Linked DNA regions of Nothobranchius furzeri. The protein of the gene in region 1 interacts with the protein of each later gene in a biochemical or structural test. Links are inferred from orthologs where the notes say so. Each region holds a gene or a part of one and is shown on either strand. Other genes may lie near its edges. The genes, in order: stub1, atxn3, ube2wb, cftr, nqo1, lrrk2 and raf1a.

The links.
Region 2: of the proteins of stub1 (region 1) and atxn3, one has a biochemical effect on the other in vitro, tested with the Homo sapiens proteins (6 studies listed by BioGRID, with this or other methods). The link is inferred for Nothobranchius furzeri from reciprocal best matches to the Homo sapiens genes STUB1 and ATXN3.
Region 3: the proteins of stub1 (region 1) and ube2wb form a complex in vitro, tested with the Homo sapiens proteins (7 studies listed by BioGRID, with this or other methods). The link is inferred for Nothobranchius furzeri from reciprocal best matches to the Homo sapiens genes STUB1 and UBE2W.
Region 4: of the proteins of stub1 (region 1) and cftr, one has a biochemical effect on the other in vitro, tested with the Homo sapiens proteins (4 studies listed by BioGRID). The link is inferred for Nothobranchius furzeri from reciprocal best matches to the Homo sapiens genes STUB1 and CFTR.
Region 5: of the proteins of stub1 (region 1) and nqo1, one has a biochemical effect on the other in vitro, tested with the Homo sapiens proteins (2 studies listed by BioGRID). The link is inferred for Nothobranchius furzeri from reciprocal best matches to the Homo sapiens genes STUB1 and NQO1.
Region 6: the proteins of stub1 (region 1) and lrrk2 form a complex in vitro, tested with the Homo sapiens proteins (3 studies listed by BioGRID and IntAct, with this or other methods). The link is inferred for Nothobranchius furzeri from reciprocal best matches to the Homo sapiens genes STUB1 and LRRK2.
Region 7: of the proteins of stub1 (region 1) and raf1a, one has a biochemical effect on the other in vitro, tested with the Homo sapiens proteins (4 studies listed by BioGRID, with this or other methods). The link is inferred for Nothobranchius furzeri from reciprocal best matches to the Homo sapiens genes STUB1 and RAF1.

The regions. Positions count from the first base shown.
Region 1 is NC_091756.1:32,259,707-32,263,819, forward strand, and holds the start of stub1 (E3 ubiquitin-protein ligase CHIP), read right to left. Parts: upstream 2,801-4,113; 5' UTR 2,661-2,800; intron 1,994-2,660; 5' UTR 1,880-1,993; coding exon 1,766-1,879; intron 1,654-1,765; coding exon 1,455-1,653; intron 373-1,454; coding exon 207-372; intron 113-206; coding exon 37-112; intron 1-36. UniProt on the Homo sapiens protein: E3 ubiquitin-protein ligase which targets misfolded chaperone substrates towards proteasomal degradation.
Region 2 is NC_091758.1:31,656,002-31,660,057, forward strand, and holds atxn3 (ataxin-3), read right to left. Parts: upstream 2,759-4,056; 5' UTR 2,669-2,758; coding exon 2,645-2,668; intron 2,266-2,644; coding exon 2,101-2,265; intron 2,012-2,100; coding exon 1,967-2,011; intron 1,886-1,966; coding exon 1,800-1,885; intron 1,719-1,799; coding exon 1,652-1,718; intron 1,571-1,651; coding exon 1,483-1,570; intron 1,407-1,482; coding exon 1,277-1,406; intron 1,205-1,276; coding exon 1,041-1,204; intron 938-1,040; coding exon 781-937; intron 705-780; coding exon 643-704; intron 568-642; coding exon 515-567; 3' UTR 501-514; downstream 1-500. Other genes in the region: E3 ubiquitin-protein ligase UBR1, read left to right, coding at 2,801-2,845. UniProt on the Homo sapiens protein: Deubiquitinating enzyme involved in protein homeostasis maintenance, transcription, cytoskeleton regulation, myogenesis and degradation of misfolded chaperone substrates.
Region 3 is NC_091747.1:53,051,291-53,054,790, forward strand, and holds part of ube2wb (probable ubiquitin-conjugating enzyme E2 W-B), read right to left. Parts: intron 2,369-3,500; coding exon 2,266-2,368; intron 1-2,265. UniProt on the Homo sapiens protein: Accepts ubiquitin from the E1 complex and catalyzes its covalent attachment to other proteins.
Region 4 is NC_091744.1:53,050,081-53,053,580, reverse strand, and holds part of cftr (cystic fibrosis transmembrane conductance regulator), read right to left. Parts: intron 3,194-3,500; coding exon 3,093-3,193; intron 792-3,092; coding exon 561-791; intron 305-560; coding exon of another isoform or gene 290-304; exon of another isoform or gene 245-289; intron 162-244; exon of another isoform or gene 1-161. UniProt on the Homo sapiens protein: Epithelial ion channel that plays an important role in the regulation of epithelial ion and water transport and fluid homeostasis. Mediates the transport of chloride ions across the cell membrane.
Region 5 is NC_091749.1:66,525,528-66,529,820, reverse strand, and holds the start of nqo1 (NAD(P)H dehydrogenase [quinone] 1), read right to left. Parts: upstream 2,801-4,293; 5' UTR 2,675-2,800; coding exon 2,671-2,674; intron 1,618-2,670; coding exon 1,450-1,617; intron 1,250-1,449; coding exon 1,119-1,249; intron 338-1,118; coding exon 224-337; intron 89-223; coding exon 1-88. UniProt on the Homo sapiens protein: Flavin-containing quinone reductase that catalyzes two-electron reduction of quinones to hydroquinones using either NADH or NADPH as electron donors.
Region 6 is NC_091744.1:48,478,194-48,481,693, reverse strand, and holds part of lrrk2 (leucine-rich repeat serine/threonine-protein kinase 2), read right to left. Parts: intron 3,429-3,500; coding exon 3,301-3,428; intron 3,185-3,300; coding exon 2,966-3,184; intron 2,893-2,965; coding exon 2,691-2,892; intron 2,390-2,690; coding exon 2,301-2,389; intron 610-2,300; coding exon 422-609; intron 346-421; coding exon 191-345; intron 98-190; coding exon 1-97. UniProt on the Homo sapiens protein: Serine/threonine-protein kinase which phosphorylates a broad range of proteins involved in multiple processes such as neuronal plasticity, innate immunity, autophagy, and vesicle trafficking.
Region 7 is NC_091755.1:58,342,979-58,347,144, reverse strand, and holds the start of raf1a (raf-1 proto-oncogene, serine/threonine kinase a), read right to left. Parts: upstream 2,801-4,166; 5' UTR 2,570-2,800; coding exon 2,318-2,569; intron 2,217-2,317; coding exon 2,104-2,216; intron 2,008-2,103; coding exon 1,905-2,007; intron 1,819-1,904; coding exon 1,661-1,818; intron 1,236-1,660; coding exon 1,146-1,235; intron 127-1,145; coding exon 1-126. UniProt on the Homo sapiens protein: Serine/threonine-protein kinase that acts as a regulatory link between the membrane-associated Ras GTPases and the MAPK/ERK cascade, and this critical regulatory link functions as a switch determining cell fate decisions including proliferation, differentiation, apoptosis, survival and oncogenic transformation.

The DNA.
Region 1 (4,113 bases):
TCAGTAAAAAGTGTGAAAATCAGGGCAAAACCCAACGTGTTTTGATGAAATCTTTGCTGCATCTCCTCCGCTTTGATTGTCATCCTGTTTTTCTCTGTATTCTTCAAGTTCTCTATGAAAAATAGTAAACGCCACGTTATATCACTAAATCTAAACCACCTGGAGCACAGCGTGCCAGAATGTATTTCAGAAAAATCCCATCTGACCTCTCCTTCTCAGCCAGGATGAGTTTGGTCAGGTAGGCGTGCAGCTCGTTCTCCTGGTTGATGCGCTTCTCCTCGATGCTGTTCCAACGTTTTTTCTTGGCGATGCGTAACGCACTGGGGATGTCGTCTCCAAAGTTCAGCCTCTGCTCTTTTGCCAGGTTATACGCTATAAACAAATAAATAAGTCACATTAGTTAAAACTTGGAAGTTTGGAAAACGGTCAAAAAGAACATCTAAACAGTCTTTAAATCAATTTTCTATCAATTCCATGCTGCTGCAGAAGAGCTGGTGCTGTGGCTGCTTAACAATTTCCCAACGCTCTGAAATGGTAGGTTAGGTTGTAGTTAGAAGATAGAGATTTTGCACCTGCAGCTACACATGACCAAGCTTTCTCTATCATTATGACGCAGACTGGAGACACTGACTCAGTCCATCAGCACCCACCAGGTAACCAGCCTCTGATTGCTCTGGTTTGGCCTGTAAACTATACATTTATAATAGAAAGCATAAATCTGACCCTCGTGTTGTGTTATGGTTTTAGACTTATCCATGAGTTTTGAAGTCAGCCGGTATCCAGCATGTTTTAGTTGTTTCCCTGCTCCAACACATCTGATTTCACTCAGCAGGTGATTAACAGGCTTCTGAAGACCTTGATGAGCTGCTGATTAAGTGTGTTGGAGCAGGGACACAGCTAAAACGTGCTGGATACCGGCACTCCAGAACCAGGATTGGACTCCGCTGCTTTAGTAAAAAAAAACAAATAACTGTTGCACATTGGGTTTAATGCTCTGTGTGATCTGCTTGTTTGAAGAACTTGTCTGGAGACTTGTCAGCAACATTCAAAGATATAAATGAGTAAAACACACGGACTGAACAGTGTGAGTCTGTCAGCCAGCAGCACTTAAACATCAGCTTTCTGGTATTTAAAATAGGCAGAAATTACTGGAGATTGTATTACAACATTTAAGGGTCATGTTGAACTGTGAAAAAAACGGACTTTTCTGAAATGTTACACAACAAGTCATTAATTTATCTACACAACATTGATGTAGACATGGAATAGAACTTTTAAAGATTGCTGAAGACAATGGGGACGAGAAAACAACTACATAAAAGGATGACAATACAAAAACTTCAATCTAAAAGGAATTATGAAAGAAAAATGAAGGAACTTGTGAGACGAACTTTTCCCCCCAAATGACGCAAAACTCAGCCATGTTTACATCCTCTTTAAGGACTTCCTCAAACCTTTCTGCAGGTTTCCAATAGCCTCGTCGTAGTTCTCCAGCTCCAGGTGACACTGACCCAGGAAGAAGTGTGCCTTAACGGACTGGCTGTCCAGCTCCAGAGCATGCTTGCAGTCAGCCAGAGCCTTGTCATACTGCTGCAGCTTTACATGGCAGAGGGCCCTGTTGGTGTAGTATACAGCCACTGATGGATTACGGTTCTGTGGGACAAAATAAACCAGAAAGTGTGTTAATGAATTATCTGTAATCAGAAACATTTGTATTCTTCCAGCTTAGATGACTTAAGACTCAGACATCCTTAGTGCCACTCACAATAGCTTTGCTGTAGCAGGTTGCAGCCTCCTGGTACTTGCGGCAGAGGAACAGCCTGTTCCCCTGCTCCTTCAACTCCTGCGCGGTGGAACTCTTCTCCGGGCTGCCGGCCATCTTCTCCACCGGCTCCGCGGGGCCCGCCTCGCCCTGCTTCCCAATCCTGTTCCCCGTCTCTTCGGCTGGCCAGACGTCAGAGTTCAAAATGACCAGTCCGTCCTGGATCGCGCTCTACAGAGCAGACACCACAGGGTTTACTGCACTGCAGCTGCAATGCGCGTCTTTTAGGTGCAATGCTGCTCGATGCCACCCAAAAGGTTTGATTTGCTGACTGCGCGCACTGCCGCTGAAAAACACAGCTAGGTGCCTAGACTGAATTAACTATTCATATGACGGACATCGGCGTGGGCTGCAATCTGCAATGAGCACCGCTTTGAGTATTAAGTCAGGGTAACTTTACACCAGAGGTAGCCGAAAGGTGACGACCGACACCTCCAAACAGATCACTCGCTTGCGCAGGAACAGTTGGAGGCTAGCTGCTGTGGAAGAAAATGTTCTCAGACGAAAAAATTCACAACTTTAGTGAGACCAGAGATCGCTGCTATGCCTAGTAAGCTAGGCTACGTGGTCGGTTTTCACCGGGGGTTGCTAAAGGATTCCGCTCATTCAGCTCTAGTTAAACTCACTGAATTCATCAAATGAACAATAAATGCCACGTTTGATCCCAAACTATTCTCAGCCGGACACTGTCGTTAATAATATAGTACACCAAGACCCGGCTAAGCGATAAGTAAAAAAATCTTTAGCTAATGCTAAAATTAGCCTGTTAGCCCAAAGCCTCCCCTGTTTCTGGTTTAAACTGAGTTCGTTGTTAAAGCCTACCGTTTCCAACTCTTACCTTTAATGATAAATCTTACATCCAGATGATTGTGACTTCATTTATTTTGATATACAGTCTTTAAGTATTGATTTTCCCCGTACGAGCTCTCATGACAAGTTGTTGTTATGCTGACGTAAAGGGCTTTTTTACGTTACTCCAACGGAAGCCGAAAGGACACAATTAGTGCGATGAAATAAAAAGCAAATAACTGAAACTATGTATCAGTTATTACCTCCTAATCTTTCATTTAGAATAAAACAAAAAATGTTTTATGTATAGAAAGACTTACCAACAATTTCATTTGTTTGTGAAATGCAGTAAATAACGTTTAGTATTTTGAGTATACTTTATTTTATTAAATAATTGTCTTAATTATTATTTTGTAGCTATTTAAACACCATTTTTAAGTATCATTTATTTTTGTACATTTACGTGTTAATACGTAACATTTAGACAAATTTATTAAGATGGCATGTGAGTTATTTAGTCATTATTTTTTATCACATGTAGACATAGATTCAAGCTATTCAAAAGTATTAGTAATTCCAAAACACATTTTACATATTCATACATAATAGGTTTTGAGGTCAACTATTAATTGACAATAAAGGTAAAAAAACGTGTGCATCTACTGTTGTACTGAACATCTTTTTATATTTTTTAATTATCTTTATTTACTAATTTAGCATTAAATCAAATAGTTATGTACAAATCCTAATGCAGTGGTTTCAAATTCATATTCAGGTAGGATGCTATGTCAGAGTGTCAGAAAATGCAATAATCCTACCAAAATAAAATGTGGATTACATTCATATACCCTTTGATGGCAACTTTGTACAAATCTGTTAAAACGTGGATCATTTATCAACATTCCTTTCAGGATTCTCCTGGCATGTTGATCAATGATGAATGATCAAACAGACTCACATATTCTTGTTATGAAATGATATCCAGGATCTTTGTTTGCTGCTGTTATTTTGGTAGACTTGTTTTTTTGTTTTGTTTACATATTTAAGTCGAAGCCAACATTCTCTTTGTGGATTTCAAAGTTTAACTTAAACTTTATTTAAATTAGAGTCTGTGTGTCAAATTAAAATTTTTATTATCTTATAATACCATAAAGCAAAGCAAAGCACACACACACACACACACACACACACACACACACACACACACACACACACACACACACACACACACACACACACACACACACACACACACACACACACACAAATTACTTTTTTTTTAATCACGGCTTGTCCTACTTTGATCTGAAGCTTCACCAGCAGAGGGCGCTCTGTGCTGCAAAATTACTTGAACATCAAAATTGAAAACGTCTAACTGTGTAGAGACCTGCAACAGCAGAGAAGGACAACAGGTCTCTATTAACTTATTTCATGGATGCCAAGATCTTTTGAGGCTTCAGTGATGTAAACTTTTGAATAATTAAATCAAAATATTAAGATTG
Region 2 (4,056 bases), on another chromosome or scaffold:
TGTTTTAATTACTTGTGTGTTGCACGAAAAACCGCTACAAAATCAGGAGGCTTTGTTGTTTTCCGTAAAGCTTTAATCTAAACGTTGGTCTCATATTGCTTCTGTTGAACGCCTTTTCGTTTTACCTCTCAGCAAGTAAGGACATAACTTCCACGTGTTTAAGAAAAGAAACACAAAACCAGGATATAAAACTGTACGATAGAAATAGAAGGCGCCATGGTAAAAAGGCAAATTGCAAACTTGGATTAAACTGCATCGTGAGTCTTCTCCGGTCCAGTGGCCGTGCTTTCTAAAAGATTCAGATGAGAAAGTGCTGCCTTTTCTTTGTCGTTCTTCTCTTCCTCAGTCAGTGACTAACGAGGCGGGAAGGGGGCGGGGGAGTAACCACGTGTCAGCCTTCTGACTGCCCTTATGTTTGCATTTGCAAAAGGTTAGAAGAAGGAGCAAAGCCACCCCTGAGAGGGGAGTTGAATCCAGGCTGCAGGTAAACAACACGGACAAAACTTTCACCACTTTATTGGATGGGAGCTTGTTGTTGGTCCTCCTCAGAGCCAGTGTTTACTGATCCTGGTGGAAATAAGAGCCACAGGTTAAACGAGTCATCAAGTCACATGACTTCTGAACTAAGTTAGATTTAATCACCTGGATCAGCCGCTGAATGTTTGTCTGCTTGTTGAGGAATGCTTGGCTGAGCTTGTTGCTGCCTATAAACACAGAAACATCTGTTTTCTAAGTGGGCAGAGCTCGTTTAGGGATTTAAACAGTCGTTGTAGATCTTACCGATCGAAGTAGGCTCGTCTCCTCTTCCTCAGCTCTTCGGCTGTAAGCGTCTCGTTTTGGCCTTCTTTTTGTTCTCCTGTAGTGCTCTCTGCTGCCTGCCCTCCAGATTTTACACCCTCCCCTTCACTGTCTGACATCCTGTTGCTCATCACTGCTCCTGCAGAAAGACAAATGCAAATAGTTAATTTTACAAACTAATGTTTAGAAGTTTAATACAAGTTTCAAACAGTTTTAAAACCTTCACATGGCACACAATTGACCTTGCATGCTGAGCTGTATGGCTCTGCGTAGATCAGCATCTTCATCTTCCACATCCATGTCCTGTCTACTGAGCGCCAGAGCTCTCTTCAGTTCTTCATCTTCACCCACAGACTCATCCTCAACACCAAAAACCACCTCTGTCTGGCTCAGAGCAGCCGACCTTCTGCTTACAGCAAAACGCACGAATCAGACGAGTTAAACAAACCAGAACCCTTGTGAACAAAATGACACACACCCCGCACTCGTCTGCGCTTCCTCCTCTCCGATGAGCCTTGGCCGCTGCTGCTGATGGACCCTCATGATCCCAAGAATCTGCTCTGCCTCACACTCAGGGAGATTCCCTCGGATCACAAATATGGAATACCCTGCAAAAAAAAAAAAGAACTAATTTAATCATCTTTTCTCCAGTTCAACCTCTAAATGTACAGTTTCTGATGCTACCTTCTTGTTGTAGCTGTGCAAGGAAAAGTGCTAAATATGTGTCTGATATCAACTCTGGTCCTGTCAACAGTGAATTCAGGTTAAACCACTGCAAAGGAAACAGAGAATTTTAGTGAATCAAGCTGCTATAAGACAAGTATGACTAGGTAAGTGAGTGAGTGCCACACACCTGTTGTCCAAGTTTGCGTATAGTAAACCAGTGCTCCTTATAATTGCAAATGAAGGCTTTCTCATTTCTGAAACACAAAGTAAGCATCAGCTTAAAGAAATGAGAGATCAGGATCTTCTATCATAATGTTTCCACATTAAAACCTTACACTGGGTTTATCATTAGGCTCTGGTACTCTCGACTATTAAAGAGGAGTAGCTCCAAGCCCCAGACTCGAAGAGCATTGCTAATCACCTTGAAAATATTGAAACAAGAGTGATATTACAGAAGAGGACATGGATTTTAGAAGCAATAAAAAGATAATTGTAAACTCACTTGTATTGAAAAGAACCCACTATCATCCATGTTCCCAGAGGGTTGCTTTAAACACATTTTCGAAAGAAAAACATGAATAAAATTACATTTTTGATAACATTTTGTACCAATATGTACCCTCTGTCTCATAACACCTGTAAAAAGGTCCTGTACTCCTCACTAGCCATTCCCCCCTCTGCCATCCTCATCCTCTCCTCTTCATCAAGCTGATGAGCGATAGAGGACAGGTCCACAGGAGTGAAATACTCGCCCTGCAGAAGGTTGTTGAGGCAGTGCTGGGCACAGAGGGAGCCCTCTTGCTGCAAACAAAGGATCAGGAATGTAACAAGCATCCAGCATCAGCTGGACTTCTGGAATAAAGATGCTCAACCAAAACAAACACATGTAGCAGCTAGCCCAACGAGGACCCAGCCAAGCAGAGAGCGATTAACTAACAAGAAAACAAAACCCCTACATGACGCCAGGAATAGTTATCATGTTAAAAATCTAACTTTTCACATTCTCTGACTAGCAAGTGAATTAGCGTATTAGCAGTTTGTACAACAACTCCATCACAAACGCCTCGATAGCGGCTACTTAACTGGTAAAACTATTCAGCAGATCGAGCACCGACACCGCTTAATCAAAAATCAGTAAATATAATCAGGTAAATTCGTGTTATAAAATGTTTAAACCTACTTTCTCATGAAATATGGAGTCCATATTCAGCTTTCTGTCAAACGTTCAACTCTCTAACCCCCGCCCCTCACTCGCCCTATCGAGAGGAGACGCCCCCTAGCGGGCGGGCGTGCGCGCGGCACAGTGCTGGACGCCTCTACTTACGGCAAATGGAATATGGCGGACAGTGAGAATTCCATGAACAGGCTGGAGCTGAGTCAGGTATGATGTTCTCTCAGCTAATTCCGTTGACAGCGCTTTCTGAGAGTTTGTGGCAAAACGACGGAGTTTAAAATAAAAAAAAAATCATGTGTAATAAGGTTTTACTGCATTATGGTAGAAGGTTGTTCTTGCCAGGCTAATAATAGTCGTAGCCGCCAAGGCTAACTAGCATTAGAGAGGCATCACGCTGTTTATTACGGATAAACCGACTTTATTTTTACTTCTTTTCGGGATAAATTTAGTCTTTTTCCATGAGAAATGATGTAAGTGTTTGTCTTTCCCCTCTGTGCTTACACATGACATTTAAAATGCTTAGCCTGAGGTCCTGAATGCCTTTTCCGTTTATTTACAGTGAAAGTAAACTAGTCTACTGTTACTGTGTTGTTATTCATATTTAGGTTTACCTGTTCAGATATTTTCGCCTCCCAAACACCAACATAATCACGCATTTTTAAACGTCCTAATGTAGTTACAGCCTTTGTGTTTTATTATTGAGAAATCCGTCTAATGTGGTTTTTGTTTTAGTTTCGTATAAAATAAATTATTTCAGTTTTATTTTCAAAACCGAAATATAATTTTTGTATAATTTTACTTGCTTCATCCAATCCATTGTATTATTTTCAAGGTGTTCAGTTGGTACACAAAAACATATTTGTTCTGATGATGCATATTTATGTAAGTGAACCTAAACAGACTCCTGGCGTGGATGTACCATACACTCACCAGTTTGTTTAGCAGGTAAACCAGTTCAGATGCTTATTAACACAAACAGCCAATCAGGTGGTAGCATTTAGACATGTGGACATGATGAAGTTTTGTCTGATTATCTGGGGAAGAAAGGGGATTTCAGTGGTAATGAATGTGGTTTTGTGCTGGTGCCAGGCAGGCTGGTCTGAGTGTTGCAGTTTTCATCATGATATTAGCAAAAGGTTGCATCTCAACTTCAGCTGCAACATTCATAAATGTTAGGTTAGACTTTGATGTTAACAACTTGAAAACATGGATCCATCTTAACGGTTCAGGCTGCTGGTGGTGATGTAATGGTCTGGGCCCGTACCTGATTATTGTTGGCGATAGTGTCCATACTTGTGTTTCCACACTGGACCCATGCTCTGACGGCTACATCCAGCAGGATAATACTACAAAGCTCTAATCATCTCAAAATGATGTTTTATTCAAGCCGCTACAGTCACTACATCTGAATCGAATTA
Region 3 (3,500 bases), on another chromosome or scaffold:
GGTAGACACAAAAGTTTTTCCACTTAAGTTTAGAAAAGTGGTCCTCTGGGCTTTAGTGCCCCCGCTGCAGAACTCTTAACAGATAGGTGCCAATATCGGATCATCTAGTGATGCTGAATTCAAACATTACTGTCAAAACATCATAAAAGAAAACTGAAGCTAAGACAGTGTAAGAAATGAGTGACCCTTTCAACTAGGCTGGATAAGGCTTCAGAGAGTGCAGAATGCAGCGGCTAGATTCCTGACAAACACCTCTTGACGCTGTCACATTTCACCTGTCCTTGCACGCTTGCACTAGCTGCCGGTTAAATATCGTATCCAGTTTAAGGTCTTAACCTTAGTTTACAACATCCTGAATGGTCAAGCCTCTGCTCATCTGTCAGAACTGCTCATGCCTCATGTTCCACCCAGAACCCTGAGATCAGCAGATCATTTACTTTTGTACATCCCAAAAATGAAGTATAAATCTCGTGGGGAGCGGGCCTTTGTGTTCGCTGCTCCTAAACTTTGGAATGCTCTCACCCTTAGTGTTCGACAGGCCCCAGAACTGGGTTGATTCAAGTCTGTACTGAAGGACTACTTCTACTATTTAGCTTTTGATCAATGACCAAGCTTTTATTGTTATAGAATCTTCCCTGTTGAAATGTGCTAACCTTTTAGCATTGTTTTTATTGTGACTTTGTTTTTACTCTAGTATGTTTCTTTTACATTTTTAGGTTATCCCTTTTATCTCTTTTATGATATTTATCTTGTTTTTATCTTGGGGTTTTCCTTTTACTACTACTGTACAGCACTTTGGTCAGCTGTCATGCTGTTTTTAAATGTGCTTTATAAATAAACTTGGTATGGTATGGTATGGATAAAGATCCACAAACGTGGATCTACAACAGCTTTTCTTTGAGCCTCTATTGGCGCTTACACATTAGCGTAGGTACGGGCCCATAAGGTACCGAACGGCACCGGAATTTGGTTTCACACACCGGTCCGATTAGCGTTTTCAGTGCCGAGGCGACTTTTTCCCAGACCTTCTCCCCAGCGGTCAGACTGGGACCGAGGCGACACTACGGACTGACTGGCCGGCTGAAATTACGCCTACCGCCTCCGATCTGCGAGAAGAATCAGCCAGCCGGGGGTTCCTGCATGTGCGGTTCATTTTCATGCTGGATGCTGTTGAGTTAACTTCTGTCTGTTGCACGGAGCTGCCGATCCGGAGCTGCTATTAAGTGTGGGAGCGGGAGAAAAGAATAGCTTTGTTTGAGTGTGTGTGTGTGCATGCATGCTCCCATTCTCCGCATCGGAGCTCTTGCCCCTCGCAAGCAGACAGCTGCTCAGGGGAGAAATCAGGGGGTGGGCGGCACAAGATTATGAGGGGACACAGAGTAAATTAATAAAATAATGTGGTTCAGAGTCTCCAAAAGCAACACAGCTCATGTCCGCCTTTTGGTACCTTATGGAACGGACTTTCCCGCGCGTATTAAGCGCCCCCCACAGGCTTGGGGATTTCCGCATCTTGAGAAGTTCCTCGGATTAATATGTAAACACTACACCGACCATACCAGCCCAAACTCACGCCATCCTGCCCGACCAAACCCCGACCGTTACGACGCTAGTGTGCAAGCGCCATATAAAGCACATGACACTTTGTTGGGGTCCACAATGCCCTAGGAGCTCTGATAATGAATATTAAATGAGCTGCATGCTGATTGGCTGGTTTAATGGCTCAATGACACTGCTCAAGCTAGAATCTCTGTACAGCAGTGTACAATATCCATATTATTCAATAGAAAGCTACAGATCTATCTGGCATTCATTATAAGTTTGGATATACCCTGTACATCCTGGAACGTTACATGTGTTTTCCCTTTGTTTATAAGAACATTAGCAGTAGCTCGGGCTAGCATTTTTCTGCAGTTAGCATTACTGAGATCAAAGTTTATTCATTGCGGATGTTGAAGTGGGTTGGAGCATGCTAATGTAGGGAGGTGCGTCTATGCTTATGACGCGTTAAACCAGTTTTTGTCAGGATGAACCGTTTCTCCGTGACCATTACAACTTTACTAATTTACAAGTTGCAGACTTTTTGGTACGCTACATAGACATCTCAAGTTGCCTCTATTCAACAACAAGGTAAAAGTGGTTGTTGAATTGTAGGACCCATTTAAATATGCGAACACACACACACACACACACACACACACACACACACACACACACACACACACACACACACACACACACACACACACACACACCCTTTGCTCTTACCTGAGGTGAATCAAAAGGATATCGACTACTAAATTTGAATAGCAGCTGAAATTTCTCTCCTTCATAGAGTGTACCGGGCGCTCCCTCCATATCTACAATCCACCTAAAAACAAAAAAGGACAATGATGACTAAAACATTCCCCCGGTGCCCCAATAAAGAACACAGGTTACCCAAATGTTTACTGTCGAATATAAACGTTACAGGGGTGGTAATCATATTTTCTGAACCATTGGTATTGAAGCTGCTTTACCAAATCAGCACAGCAAGTTGGCCATTCCATATAAACACAGTCAAAAGACTCTCATACCTCCGTCGGCTAGGCCACGCCCCCCAATACGGGAATGCGCATTGCCAGAGTAAATGGGAGAGCACAAATCAACAATCACATTTTTCTATGCCTAAACATCTTTGGTGTCTGTGACTTCAAATGGTGTTTTTTCTTTTTGGGACTCTGGTAGTTTGTCCTTAAGTTGAAGTGGTAGCAGCTGGCTGTTTCTCCTTATCTGATATTAATATTATATGTGCTTGGTCTCGTCTTGGTAACAAAGGCATTTTTACTTGGCCTTTAAAAATGGGACCCAATGCTTGACACAGCTTTAAAGGGTTGGATTGGGGGGTTAAACTACGAAATAGTTCCCGAGCGCAGCCGTGTCTGCAGCACACCGCGCCTCCCCACACAAGTGTGTGTGACAACTAGGGCTGCACGATATTAGGAAAACCGGCTATATTCGATAACAATGATTAAATTGCGATAACAATATTACTTGCAATAAATAAAAACTTATCTCATGAACAAAAATAATCAAAAACAAAGAAGAAAAAAAAAAACGAGAAAAGCAAAAGATGTGAGGAAAGGGAAAAAGATAATGAACAAGAAAAGGTAATCAGTGGATCCCAGGAAAAGCAGAATCAGCAAAAAGAGCAGAACAAAGCTAACTCATGTGTTTGCTAACCATCAAAATTAAGTACTGTCCGCCTCAGGGGCGGGCATCTAATCTATGAGAACCCACCCTTTTGGCCAAATGGGTGAAGAGCTCTATTTGATTTGTTAAAAAAAACATCAGGCTTCCATTTGATTGACAGAATGCATTATGTGTAGCAAACATTTGAGCTGATCATTCATTGCGATATTTATCTGTTCTTTGTGATATGCATATTGTGCAAGCTGATATCGCGATAACAATATATTTACGATATATTGTGCAGCCCTAGTGACAACTATGGGACTTTAATC
Region 4 (3,500 bases), on another chromosome or scaffold:
TGCAGTAATGCACTCAGACTATCCATTAGCATATCAGTCCTGAATAGCAGAAATTGAGAATTGTGGCATCAACAAGTCTTCTCCATGCCGGGTTTTTCTTCAGTCCAGCAGGTAAACCAGGTGATTTCAGTCAGCACAGAGAATGAACCTGGTCCAGTTGCCTAGCAGAACAAAATCACAGCATGAAGTTATCTTGTTGATGCCACAATTCCCATCTCTGCTGAATAATGCAGACTTTACTTACAAACAGAGAATGTTCAGGAAATTATCTGCAACAGGCGAGGTAGTTTTACACAGAAACACACTTCAAAAAAGTAAAGGAATCAAAAAAGATATGTATTAAAGGCAAGATGTATTTATTCCACATGCTAACAGCAACAGTTAGACAAGCAAACAGGAAGTCAGGATTTATTTACTGCCAGGACAACATAAGAGTCCAAAAGAATCAACTTGAACTAAATTTACATCTACTGGTCATCAGATATTTTTTGTTAACAAACAGACAAAAACATGAAGAGATCTACTGGGAATACTAAAGTGTAGTTAAGGTTGGGACTCACGCTCTGCCCCCCCTCCACAGAGAAGGAGATGTTGTTGAGCACGGTTCGCCCAGCTTCGGTGTATTTAACAGTGAGATCCTGGACGTCCAGCTGACCTCGGTTGGGCCAGTAGTCGTACATGTGGGGGTTGTTGATGATGAAGTCGGAACCTCCTCTGCCTCCAGATTTACCCAGTAGGACCTCCTCTGATGGCAGGTCGATGAATTTGAACACCCGGTCCACTGAACGCATCTGAGAGGAGAAAACAGGTGGACTGAATTCTGCCCTGTGCAGGTTTGGTACTTCCTATGTTTTGGTTCAGTTGGTTGTGTGTCAAATTATAAGATTCTTTAAAAAAGTCACATTTAAATTAATTTCATGATTGGGTGTTGTGTGAGCAAAGCTCTGGTCTCCGTGAGAGCAGGGGGAGCTGGGGCAGAATTTTTTCTATTAACAATAAAGGAAATGTCTGAGGAAATATAAATATGGAAAGAAGCAGGAAACGGGCAAACGTGTATTGCAGTATAGCATTACTGCTTCTCACGAGATACGTGACTCTCTTGAGACTTCATTTCACCGGTCCAGAGAGACTCAAGTTGCAAAAGGCGGTATTCTGCCCGGAAGGAGCCGAGGTGGCTGAGAATCTGTTAATTCAAACCCTATATATTCATGTTAGCATCTGGCTCAAGGAAAGGAAAGTTTACAAGGAAAATACGAAAAGTTTACTTGGTGTGACGATAATTTATCTCGCGGAGGCCTGCTAAATTTTGTCTTCTTCTTAAGGCAACACTAGAGTTTTTAACACTTTAAGCCGTTGCTTTCAAACTGGTTTCAGTGGTTCTTGAGCCAGAAACTTGAGCAACTCCACATGGGACAGCACTCTGTAGCCCTCTGCTGGTCAGAAACTGTACGTAAAGTGAGAGTAACACCTAAATCAGCTTTTCTTTTTTTTTTGCTGATTACCTGTGTGGATGAGTGTCTAATAGAGCTGTAGACATGTGTCATTATTTTGGCAGTTTAGTGCAACTTACTTAAATTATACAATTTCAGCCCAAAACTGTAATGATATCTCATTCTTCAGGTTAAAACTCTGCTCCACACCGAGTTAGAATCAGCCAGTCTGTACAGTACTATGTGGCTGCAATGCACTGGACTCCTGCTGAGTCTTGCTGCACCTCCACCTGGCTCAACCACTCACCTGCTGATATGACACGTTGGTGCTCGGAGCCACTCACCTCCTTAGAAAAACATCCTCTTCCAGTGGCGGCTCCAGAAATGTTTTTCTGCAGGTGCTATGAAGGAGCTAGTCTTTTTATTGAGGGTGCTATGAAGGAAGTGGTCATGCGTACCTATTGTTCTCTAAAACACCTTCAACACCAGCAGATACACATGCGTGCACAAAACCTCAACAACACCTGAAACAATCATTAATATAAATCATAAACATGTGAACAATCGCTGACTTTTCCATGAAATCATAAACACATACAGCCACACAGAAAACCATCTAGAGTGTTGCAAGGTTAGCTAATGTTAGTGTTAGCATTTCCAGCAGCCAAACCCTGGACTGCTGCGGCGGTTGAGGGTTGACTCTCTTCATCCAGATACGTAGGTTTTTGTGGGTCTGAGATCACTTCCAAACATTCATTCGTTTCTGAATGAACCCGTGGAAATGTGGGCAACAAAAAACGACCCATTTTACCACTAGCTCTACCTTTCACTCATTCGCAAGTGGAACATGAGGTCAAAGGTTAACATCAATTTACTGTTTTGGTTTAAGTTTTTACTATCTATATGATAATTTACTGATTATTTTTGTTTTGTATGTTAAATATTATCACATCCACACGTTAAATTGAAATTAAATTGTAAAAAAACAAATCTAATATTTACTTGAGGTGCTATGACTGATCCAGGGTAGCTATAGCGCCCCCTGGCACCCCCCTGGCGCCACCACTGTCCTCCTCCCTAGCAACCTCAGTTAAGAGGATATCACCCTTCTTGCAGGCAGTTTCTGTGTCTGCTCTTCCCCTGAGCAGTGAGTCTGCTCTTTGTGTGTGCTCGTGAGCACGCTTGTTAACGACTCTTTTTCCGACCGAGAAACTCAGAGAGAAAGTAACAGAGGGATATCTTTGGAGGAGAAGCAAAGAGCTAAAATCAAAGTGAACATCGGCGCGGCCGACACTGGTTTGAGGGAGCTAAAGGAGGCTAAAAAATCACGGACTAATTGAGACCTGGCTTTGTTGCTACTGTTAGTAATAATAGTTTTTTTGTCCAACAGTGAGGATCTTTTATTTAGTACCAGTTGGCTAAAATTAGCATTAGCTTGTTGTTAGCGTTAGCTACAGCAGGCAACAGTTGTAGTTAATTTCAACCATTGGGGGGGGAGAAGCTGGGAGAAATGAGAAATTTTGCATGTTTTTATCAAACCCTCAAAGTTGTGTGTGTGTGTGTGTGTGTGTGTGTGTGTGTGTGTGTGTGTGTGTGTGTGTGTGTGTGTGTGTGTGTGTGTGTGTGTGTGTGTGTGTGTGTGTGTGTGTGTGTGCTACATACTAGTCCATCCACATTGATACTGGTGATGATAGCCCACTGGAAGGTCCCCAGAATGAGCATAGCCAGAGCCACAACGATACCTATTTCTCCTGGTTTGTCCTCTATGGAGAGAACCCCCCACCACACACACACACACACACACACACACACACACACACACACACACACACACAGATTTATCAGCACCATCCAATCAAAAGTGAACTCTGATGCTGCTCTCACTATTACAGCTATGCTTCTGGCCTCATTGGAAACTAATGAGCTGTGAAATGACCCTTAAACCTGCACTCAGCATAAATACAGTCTGTGACGCAATAACACCTGTGTGTGTGTGTGTGTGTGTGTGTGTGTATGTAGAGGTGGGTGGGTGTGTGGTCCCATCCATGTAATAAAACAAACACGTGCTTC
Region 5 (4,293 bases), on another chromosome or scaffold:
GGACCACGTTAATGTCCCCGTTGATGCCGTCAGGACTACACATCGACTGTGTACTTCCAGTAGTGAAGGACAGCATGGCCTTTTTACCCTAAACACACACACACGCACACGCACACACACACACACACACACACACACACACACGGTAATTCATCAAATAAAAAAGTTCTATTGCTGTTTGTGACTGATCGGGTGGTTTGTGTGAATGTGATCAGGATCTCACCCTGAAAATCCCGTTGCTGTACATGTTCTGGAGCGAGAAGGCGAACCCTTGGGTGAGCACTCGGTCGATCCAGCCCTTCAGGATGGCCGGAACGCTGAACCAGTACATAGGAAACTACCGCAGGCACACACAAAGCACCAGCTCAGAGAGGCCTTTTGTTTTGTGTGTGCGTGTGTGTGTGTGTATGTGATAACTAAAAACAAAACTAATCAATCATTTATAAACAGTCTCAGGAAAACCATTTTTTAATTCCAAACAGCAACTTTATAAAAATCAGAGCTGAAACAATCATCTTATGTTTGAAGAGTAAAGAAAACCGAGATAAACTAAAATGTTAGAGCTGCAGCCACTCGCTCATCAGGGACACTGTGGCAACCGGCCACTTGTGTTGCCCCCCCTCCCTGACAGGAAGTCAGACTAAAACGAAACAGCAGACAAACAGCTGCTGGGTGAAAACTAAAAGTGCTTTAGAAAAACAGTGCGTGTCTTATCGGGGTCTCCATGGTAACCAGCCACCTGCGTCTCTCCAATCTGTGTAAAAATCTCCAAACATCCTCCAGTGATCAAAGACATCAGAACAGCAGTCTGATCATGGAACATCCAACTTCCTGTGACGCGTTTAGACTCTGAGCTATAAATCTCCAGAGGGGGCGGGGCTTCCTGACCTGGTTCACCTGTCTGTGGGGGTGTCTATCATAGATATCAATGAATGTCATCTCCATCATACAACAAACTGCTCCCAAGAGTCACAGCTCACTGGTCCTGATCGGACTAAAGGTTCTGATGGTTTTTTTTAAAGCCTCAGCGTGAAAACAGACAAAAATCTTAACAGGAAGTTATGAGGCTTCTTCATGGATCATTACCATTAAACTGAGACTGATTTGTGACCTCTGACCTGGAAGATGATAAGATCTGCCTGTTTGACTTTATCCTGCTCCTGTCTGATGTCCTCACTGAGACGGCCGTCCTTCCAGGCGAGCATCGTCTCCTCTCCGTACTGAAACTTGTCTGGATTCTTCAGGTCGCCTGCACACACACACACACACACACACACACACACACACACACACACACACACACACACACACACACACACACAGGTTTAACATAATTTATGGTAAAAAAAAAAGCTTAAATATGATCAATCAACCTAACCAAAAAAAAAAAAAAAAACCAAAGAGACGATAAAGAAAACATGAATGACAGGAGGAAAAGGAGCGGCTCACCGATGATGTCATCCTTAGTGGCACTAGCCCTAAACTTCATGGCGTAGAGGTCAGACACCACGACCTTAAATCCCTGAGCCTCCAGCTCCTGGACCGCGGCATCCCGGACCGCCGCGTTGAAGGAGGCTGGATTCTGGTGAGCGAACACGATGAGAGCTGTTTTCCGATCTGGGAACGACAAACAGGAAGTTTGTTTTCAGAACCAAGACCAGAATATGACCAGTACCTATTCTGTCAAGTTTAAAATCTTGTTTGTTTTTAAATCCGTTAAAGGCCTTGCCCCCTCTGAGCTTCTGGTGCCCCATCCTCCAGCCAGAAGTTTGTGGTTTAGCCCTGTTTCTTCTGGAGGTCCCAAGAACCAACCCGAAAACTTGTGGGGACATCTTTTCCGTAGCGGACCCAACACACTTTAGAATAAAAGGACCATTTGAAGAAGCATTTAGTTAAACCTAATGTGGCAAGGTGGAGTAACGAGGGACCCGGCGGGATTAGATCCCCAGACTCCGAGGTGAGAGTCATGTGTGTTTACCAGCCAGCCAGAGGGACATCCCCTTGGCTACGCGGCCAGGGCGCATGATCAATCGGGACACTGTGACAGGACGCTCCCACTGCCACACTAAAATTATAATTTATTGGCTACATGTACCTGGTGTATCAGTGTGATCAATGTTACTGTTTCATGCTTTTATTGTCTCATTTTATTCTTTCTTAGTTTGAAACTAATAATTTCCGGGCCGGCGAAGCCCTTTGGTCAGCTCAGCTGTCTTTAAATGTGCTTCACAACTAAACTTGACCTTGACCTAACAGAACCAAAAAGGTCAAATGACACACAAACAAAAAAACTAAAACACATAAAAATGCTAAACGCATAAATAACTAAAACCCACAAACTAAACGTTCTTGTTTATTTATGTGTTCTAGTCATAAATGAACATAAACAAAAATAAACTAGAGAAATTCTACTTTAACACCTTTGAAGCAGACAAAAAACCTGATATCTAAAATGAAAGTTTGTTGAAACTTTTTCAGATGAGAACAATCATTAATAATTCCATTCATTTGATGTTCTTCAAATGAGCACAGCCTGCATTCCAGGAACGATCAGGTCATTGTTTCTGTAGAAACCCGCCCAGAACTTTATTCAGAGACTCAGAAACCGGGTTTCTCCTCCAGAAACATGGAAAAGTTCAGCTGATCTGCAGCAGAAGATGAGAATCTTACCCATGATGATTCAGTAGACTCCGTCTGCAGTCTGGACGTGTTTCCTGTGGCTCTTATAGACCCAGCAGCTAGCGTGAGAGTGCTGCTGTAGCCGGAAAGTGAGAACCTCATGGTTATGTAACAAAGGAATAAAAAAACAGGTCTGAGAGGCTGCAGAACCGGTTCTGCTCAACAGGAGGAGACGTGAGCAGAGACACAATCCAGAGAGGAGCTGGTTCTAAATTCTGGAGTCATTTTATTCCCAGAACCAAACAGGTTTTGATCCTGGAACCACATTCTCTAAAGCAGGGGTTCCCATCTGGGGTCTATGACCCCCAAGGGGGTCCACACAAGAATGTCTGTGCAGAAGCTGTGAGGTTACCAAAACTGTTTATGTAAAAAATACATTTTTAAAATCCCAATCTCACACCCAGTAGTATAATTTAATCTTTATCGGAGAGTCAGCTCTGTAAAATCACTGTTGATGCATAAATGCGGGTAGGAGTTGGTGCTAGGGGTCCTCGACTGTCCTGGAGCCAGACAAGAGGGTCCTGAAGGACAAAAGGTGCTCTAATAATAATAATAATAATAACAATAATAATAATAAAAAAAAATAATTATACATTTTATTTGGAGTGCCTTTAAAAAAACAAGGACACTACAATTAGTTTAAAAAATAAATAAGAAATTAAAACATTCAATGACTAGAAAATTTAAAACCCAAATAAAACATCAGATAAATTCTATTTCAATTCAAGTTTATTTATAAAGCGCCAAATCACGACAAGAGTCATTTCAAGGCCCTTCACATAGTAAACATTCCAATACAGGTCAGGTCATTAAGCCAATCAGAAAAAAGTTCCTTATAAAAGGAACCCAGCAAATTGCATCGAGTCACTGACTAGTGTCAGTGACTTTACAGCAATCCTCATACTAAGCATTTAGCGATAGTGGAGAGGAAAACTCCCTTTAAAACACTTGTAACAGTGACTAAGCAATTTTGAAGAGATGAGTTTTGAGATTAGCCTGAAATAGGTGAAGGGTAGTCACATTCCTAAAGTGAGCAGGTAATGAGTTCTCTGACTGAAACTTTAGATGCTCCAAATCCAACTCGGCACAAGTCTGTCTCTTCAGACACGGAGACACACGACTCCTTCGCGCCATGACACTCAGTAATGCTACCTGAGCACCTTTATCACCTGATCTGCTGTTCAGAGTTCTGATAACCAGCAAATTCAGGGTCAGATTTCACATCATGGAAACGTTTTGTTTGGTTTGCTTTCAAGCTGCTGTTGATTGATGAGTTGATCACATGACCCTGGGCAGTTTACACACCTGCTCAGGTGAAGATGGTGAGGTTTTTTTTTAAATCTAATTTGATCTTTTAGTCACTGCAGAATGATCCAGACACATTCTGATTAGGTGTTTTGACAGCATTTAATGATCACCGTGGCAACCATGGGAGTATAGTGTCACCTGACTCATGGGGTGGACTATACAGACTAGAGCTGACACAGGTGTTGTTCTGACCAAAGTGACTTGCAGGAACTCTGGACTCTAGTGCCACCTGCTGGGGTTTGAGATGCTTCTCTATTCTTCTGATCCTTCTGTCCTCAGCCGTGGAAATCTAATATAATCATTTAT
Region 6 (3,500 bases), on another chromosome or scaffold:
TCCTCCGAGGCAGCCTCCACCAGACAGTAGGCCTCAGGGGACCAGTTTAAGTAAAGCCCTCTCCTCCAGTAGATTCGGTTTGGTCGGAGAACTTTCTCTATGAAAGTAAGGTGACAGAGTTCTACTATATTGCTGTTTGCTTAAGAAATGATGAAATTCTTTACAATGAAACAGAAGTTGCTCATTTTACCTCTTCCACCGAGCAAATAGGATGAGACTTCCAGCAGGCGGCTGATCTGCCTGGACCAGAAATCCATGGGGAAGTAGGGCAGCTCATACAGACGCACAATCACCTCAGAGTTCTCACAGTGAGGCAGCTCGATCACCGGCCTGTGTTTGGACAAGCTGCAGACAGCAGGGTGAGATGCTATAAAACTCAAGACTCTTTAATCGGGGCAAGTTCCAAAAAAGTGAAACTTACCTGCTAGGAACAAGAAGCTGGCCGTCCCCAAAGGGAAGAGCAATCAGAAACTTCTCCAGGAGTTTAAAGAACTGGACCAGGTGGCTCTTTGGGAAACATTTGGTCTCAAACAGAAACCTTTCCACCACGGATCGCTGAATAACTCCTTTGGGTTGCTCCCAGAGACTACAGCTCTTTAGCATCCCTCTCTGTAAAGAAGACAGAACTACTTACATGAGAGTTTTTCAGGGCATTTGAGGACAACTTAGATAGTTATATCTAAAAATGTTAGCTAAGGAAGTTTAAATAACCAACACCAGATGTGTGGATTTCACAGCTGAGCTGCTGGTTGGTAAAGGTGTACAGAGTCGGTCCATAAAGGAAACCAAGAAGACTAAAGCTATTTTTGAATTAAGGAGTTCTATCAAGAATTACATCAGACTCTTTACCTACAGTGGAATAAAATATGATAAAATTACTGTAACACGCCAGCAGGACCAAGTTGCTGCTAACAGACACTAGACAAACTCCGGTTTTTCACCCATAAGTTGGAGGATATTATAAACTAACCATTTCACTAAAACAGTATAGGTGAGAGTTTGGCAGACAAGTCTGGTTGGGTTTCATTTGATAATAGTTAAACATGGTTTCCTAGACACATTTAAATGGAGGTTAATTACAAAAAAAGAGGGACTCAAGGACTTGACCCTGTGGAACACCAATAATAACCTAGCATGGATGGGATTGGAGACTAAAGTCTAGTGTGTGGTTTTAGAGGTATAATTGTAGCTAAAGCTGGCTGGTAGTCCAGCATTGCCATGACAAACTAGACAATCAAGAGGTGGGTTATAAAGAGGGACCATTTCTCAATGAGACTATGTTCTTGGCTGGGACAGCAGAAAGTCTGTTCTATGGAGTACTGGAGGACGAAGACTGCATATGGAACAACCATACTCCATTACATCTTGGCAAAAAGCTTTTATACTACGGTTACAAAAAGGACCTGAAAGAACAGTAAAATTCTGGTTTGTCCCTTAAATATCAAAATAACAAGGAAAACCTTTTGTTTGTAGAATATTTGGTCAAATTTTTAATGCTACAGTGTGTCTTTCATTTATCTTTCTTCAAAACTGGTAAAATACCAGCATTTCACGCTGTTACATGAAGAAAAATAAGTTCGTTTTTTATCAAAACAGATATGCAAACACTGGTTTTATTCTGATAGTGGGTTAGCTAATTACCTGTCGTGGTTTAGTGAAGAGTCAGAAAAAGAGAAAAACAAACACAACCATTTCCCAGTCTACACACAATTATCTACAATAACAGACAATTTTATATTTATTTATTTAGACTTATTTGTATTTTTGATAATGAAACACTAGTTAGGAGCTTTGTCTTCCACAACTTTCCATTGGAGGTAGAACCATTTGCGATGCAATGCATTATGGGATAGCTTGCTGGCCCAAGTCCACAGAAGGCTGCGTTGATGCGTCCTCTATACAACGAGCAGAGCAAAAACACATCCTGGTATTTTTCTCCTTTTTTTCTTTATTTTCCTTTTTTTCTTTCTTTTTTTCCCTTCCTGGTATTTTAAGAGTACTTGCCATGATGCATACTCAGGTTTGGAACAGTACTTAAGCCAAAGTTGATGAGGTTTCACAAGGACGTGAGTGCACAAGTTCAGACGAGCATGCATGCTGATAAAAGACCCTGGTGTCAAAAGCATCAGACTGAAGGGAAAGAGCGTGATGCTAATGAAAACTCAGCTGCCATCAGCAGGTCACTGGTAGCCCAGAACCAGAATGAAACGTGTAAATGTTGTGATGATTGTTAACGTACTCAGCTACTTTTTATTTCAAAAAACGAAACAGCTTGGCTAGGGTCAGGGTAATGGACTTACCTCAGACAAGACGTTGCAGAGCCACTGTGGGATGAGAAAGTAGAATTCCTGCAGCTGAAGCGCAGGGTCATCAAAGTGCAACAGAATCCCTACAACAGCAAAAACAAATCAAAGACTTGATCAGTTTATTCACAACAATCTGTAACTAATCAGCAGGTGAGGTTCTAGATAAAATCTTTCATTTTGTGTTCCTCATTCCAAGAACGCTCCATTCTGACAGGCTGGAGTAAAGGGGAAAAATCAACACGGAGTTTTACAATAAGGAAACAATTCACCAAGGGTTTTATACCAAGTTTCTTCATATAAACAAACAATTCTAATTTGATCTGATGAATATGAGATTTTATCGTAGATTTGGCATTTTTATACACAGCTGTGCTCCTAACTGACCAACTTCGCTGAGGAAGTGGATAGCTTGAGGCAGTTCGGCTTCCTCCAGCTGCAGCTGACTCTTGTGGATGAGCTGCAGAAGCTCGCTGTGCCTGAGAACGGGGAACTCTGGGGGGACCTTGGTCCTCTCCTGCAGAATCCTGCGCTCCAGCTCCACATAGCTGTCTGGCACCAGCTGACCTATAACTTCCTGGCCTTGGATCTGGCAAATAAAGAGCAGATGACTTGAGATTAGACGATAAAACAAGAAATACATTTATCTGCTTCCTTTTTACCTTGAAGCTGGTGACCTCCCGGATGATAGTCTTACGGAGTTTGACGATGGAATCCGAGTCCTCGCAGGCAGAGACTATGTGATGGTCTCTGATGGCCGGGAAGCCCTGATAGTTCAGCAGCTCCTGTCGAAACTTACCGAGACAAGCCTGGAGCTGCGCTTCCTCACTCACATCTGTGTGTGTCCCCACGAGGATGACTGGGGACAGCGGAGCCACAGCCTGAAGTAAAGATGCAGGAAAACCATTCTCATCAATGTAGTTTAAATCAGGAAGTGGTACCTCTGATCTCTGTCAGCAGCACAGAGAAACAAGCTCAGCTTTGGTCTGTGGCTCACTTTAATGTTGAAGAGCCAGGGTTTGAGAGCATCCACCTGACTGGCTCCTTTGCTCAGGTTGTAAACAACCAGGTAGAGAGCTCTGGATGTCAGAAAGTGGGGGTGAGAGCCACTGAAGTCCTCTCCACCTGCAGGTTAAGGACATTAATAGAAATGATAGTTGGAAGAATGAGTTTATAAATGAGGCCCCTGATCTCTTT
Region 7 (4,166 bases), on another chromosome or scaffold:
GCGGTGCTGACCATGTGGACGTTGGGCGTGGAGGTGGAGCGCTGCCGTTGGGAGAGACCGCCGCCTGTGGGTTGGTACGATGTGGCGTAGTTGAAGGCGTGGGGGGTGGAATTTCGGTGGGCTGAGCTGTGACAGGATGACAATCGAGCCTTTAGCTAAAAACGACCAAACCAGCAGTGGATGCTTCTGTCGGCCACATCTTCGGGTGAGGGTGTGGGTGTGGGTGAGGTGGCCTCATTAACTCTCCTCAGTCAAGCACCCTTGTTTACGTTGGACTACTGCCACACATTCAGCACCAGAAGCCATTACATGCCTTAGCTGTGTGGTAAACAGCAAAGAGTGAAACTACATTGTTTAAGGGAAGTAGCTAGTGGGCTCGTATTTGTTACTGGTCTTCCTCTTTAGCCGTGTGTGGCTGAGCGGCTTTGTGTCCAGATCGGTTAAAGAGCACAAAACCTTCCAGCCAGATATGCTAATCCTACAGCAGCGCAAAGCCGCTCTCGGATCTGCAGAGAAATCGTCCAGAAGCGGCGCAGAGGAACCGGCTGTTTGTGTTTTTGAGCAGAACCTCGCCTTGGTGTTCTTCATGAGCAGTCCCGCTTTAGACAACAGGAATTAATATTCCTGTCGAGCATTTCGCATTTTTCTGCAAGGAACAACTTGCAGCGACAGCCAATTTAGCAACCCTGGGTGTTTTTTTTAAACCACTTTATCAGCCATCAAAACAACAGGCTGTTTTTCACACCCGGCGTTACATCATTCCTTCCACTGATAAGCTTCCCTGAAGCAAAGACAGCCTTTTAAACACATACAACACAATTAAAATATGATCCTAAAAAAGTCCAAACTTGACCACATGTGAGCCGAATAACATCTAATCTGTAATCTAGTCTACAACAGCTTGATGTTAATCTGGAGGTAATTAAACTTATAACAGTGCAAAAGTTCATTTATGTCAGTAATTCAACTTGAAACACCTGCAAAGGTTTTCCTGAGCCTTTAGATGGCCTCTCAGTCTAATCTGGATTACATAAATAAATGGACCATATTCTGAAGTATTGTTCCAGTTTCACCTGCATAATAAAACCTTGTTTTATCCTTCTGCAGAGGGTTTGTGATGAATAAGTAGAGAGAAGCAACGTCACCTTGGAAACCGTGACAGAGACTCTCTCATCCGTCGAGAGGTGAGCGGCGGCAGTGACGGGGTGCCGCTCTCCCCGGGGACCGGACACAACCTGCCGACAGAAACAAGAGACTAAAGTCCTGAGGAGGGTGTGTTTACAACAGAGCAGTGTGCAAATGACACTAATCTTTACAGAATTACTGTTCATCTACAGCCTGCATGCAAAATGAAACAAAACGGCCTTTTTGGCAGTGCCAGGATGCAAATGAGCACACCCCTATGCAAACTGGGATATCAGCAGAGCTTCCTTCTACTGTTCATCTTTGCAGAAAGTTTGGGTGAGCTCATTTCTAATATAAATCAAATTATAAAGCCCGAGGGAGATAAACGAACTGTGCGTGTGCTGACTTGCTTATTTTAATTGGTGTATTTTTTTGTAATTTGTTTGTTAAAAATGTTGTGCTTCACCATGTCACCATTTTCCCCCATTTAATCAAAAGTTGTTTTTATAATAAGAGACCCCTCTCAGATACTTACAGGAGCTGTCTGATGTTGCTCCAGTCCACACACATCGTGGGCACTTTGGTGCTACAGTGTTCGTGGAATTTGTAGCCACATGTTTGACAGCGGAAACCATTTAAAAGAAACTTCTGGCAAATATCGCAGAAGGCTAGCTTAAGATAGGTCTTCCGAGCCTGGAAATGACAGAAAGCATTTTGAACGTGTTGATTTAGCCGCTGGACGCGGAGGTGAGGGCGCTGCAGAGGACTTGGGTGCTTACAAAATTATGGGTCGTCAGCGGAACGTGATCTAAAACCTCGACCAGCAGCTCTTCCCCAATTAGAGAGGTGGAGTCAGTGTTCCAGTCCATCCGAGATTTTCTACTGGTTGGAAAACAAACCGTAGAAATAAAGGGGGAGAAACATAAGCATGTGATCTTCTTACTTCTGGTTACAATTGTCCAAAAACCCTGAACTCACCTTCTCTGACCTGGGTGCAGCTTGAAGACGGCGCAGCACTGAGGCTGCAGCCCTCGCACCTTCAGGGCTTTAATCAGACACGTGTACAAAGTCAAACCTGGTCGCACGTTTACCTGACACACGGGAAATTACAAATAATTATGATCTGAATTCAGAGGTCGCCGTGTTAAATGTGGAAACTCTAAACGCGTTTCCTAATGCAGAACTAACTCACCACCGTGCGTTGCTGGTTTGGGAGGTAGACACGGATTGTGCTACTAGCCTTCGAGTCTGGCACCTTGCTGTCATCTGAGGAGCGTCGCTGGTGGGGAAAGCCCTGGACCATAGTCGGGGAAAGGCAGGGACCCTCAAACGCAGAGTCCTTCATTCCAAAGCCGTTACTCAGGGTTCTCCACGCTCCTTGAAGGTGCTCCATCAGTAAAACTAAATACTCACAACAATCTATGCAGATCACAAAGGAACACATTGGATCTCATCCATCTCTGTGGGTGCATTCCTCATTTACTGGCTCTCTTAACTAGAACACAAAAGCTGCAGAAATGCATGTTTTGGGGCATACAGACACAATGTTTATGCTGACAATGAGAAACAGCATCTGCTGGCCTGGACACGGTTGATTAAAACACCAGGGGGGGAAAAGTGGCAAAACATGAGATTTGGGTTAGAGCGCTGTAAGGTTTAATCTCAAAACTTAATCTCACCTCCAGCAACCTTTAAATAGAGATCGCATGTGGGGATTGTGGCATAAAAACATATTAATTACTGAGAAAAGCCAGAAACACTGAGCTAATCCAAACTGCAGAGTTGTGTGTTTCTGCGGGTCTTTTTGTCTCGGCTGGAAGTTTATAACACGCAAAAAGAGTCGCGTGTGGCCTATATATGCTAATAAACCAGAAGAAGAAAACAATGAGCTGAGCTAAACTGACTATTTCATGCAAAATGTGTTTCCTGAAAACAAAAGGCCAGGCCATCAAATAAACCCACTCACCTGGATTGTTTCCATCACAAACTACTGAGCTTAATGTAAACAACCAAAAGGTTTTTGTTTATTCTTGACATTCACGTGTTTACCACCACCCTGCAGGTTTATACAGGAGGCTGCTGACCCTGAAGACACTCGTGTTGTTATCATGTCTGCTGTACTTGTGTTAATGCACATCTGCTGCAGACAGGCTAAACGCTGGAGATTTGTTGCAAACGCTTGATTCATCCCAAGCATGAGTTCAGTTTACAACAACGACATGGCTGCTTCATCAAACGTCCACATATGTGATTTTGACATGTAGCAGGTTAGCATGAATGCTGCTAGTGTGTAGCATTCAAACCAAACAAGGGACAAACAGCTATTTGGGATACTCGTGTGGGTTTTCTCGTGCTTTAAAATGATACGTTGAGGGTAGCAGCGAGTGTGTTTTTAAATAAAGCTCGACAGTTTCACCAAAAACAGCGAAGCAGCCAGCAGGCCCTCCCTGAAACAGCGAACTGAACTTCTGCTCGGTTTTTAATGGTTTAACCTGTATTTTGTGTTAATGTGTCTGAAAAAGAACCGGTTTTAACACTAAAAGTTCGGCTTTCAAGCGTGTATCAATAGTAGTGAAGTGCTAGGACCGGTAGATCGTACATGCTTACCAAGAGAAGTTCAAAAAGTTGTGCTCCGCCATAACTTTAGGAAAAAGTGGCGTCGGTGACATCATCATATCTGCAACGCATTCAAAGAAAAGTGGGAAAAAAGACCAAAAGCGAGTCCTCGACTAGTCCCAAACGCTCCTGTAAACGCAGAAAGTCAGTTCAGTTACTGTAAAACATAAAGGTCACAGGTGGCTCTTGGAAAAAATTCATCCAAAGCAACGGAAAACAAGGTTTTGTCTTCCGGACGTGACAAAAGCGAGAAATCCGTCGGTCCTTCAAAGTGACACGACGGTGGATTTTCTCCCTGATGCAGAAAAAACACTGAAAGTACAAGTCCGATGGGTTCCCCGCTAAAGCGACGCCGTTTGAATCGATCTTCACGTTGTTGGAGAAGGTGACGCGGCTCGACTTGTTGTGCGTCCGTCTGACGCCAG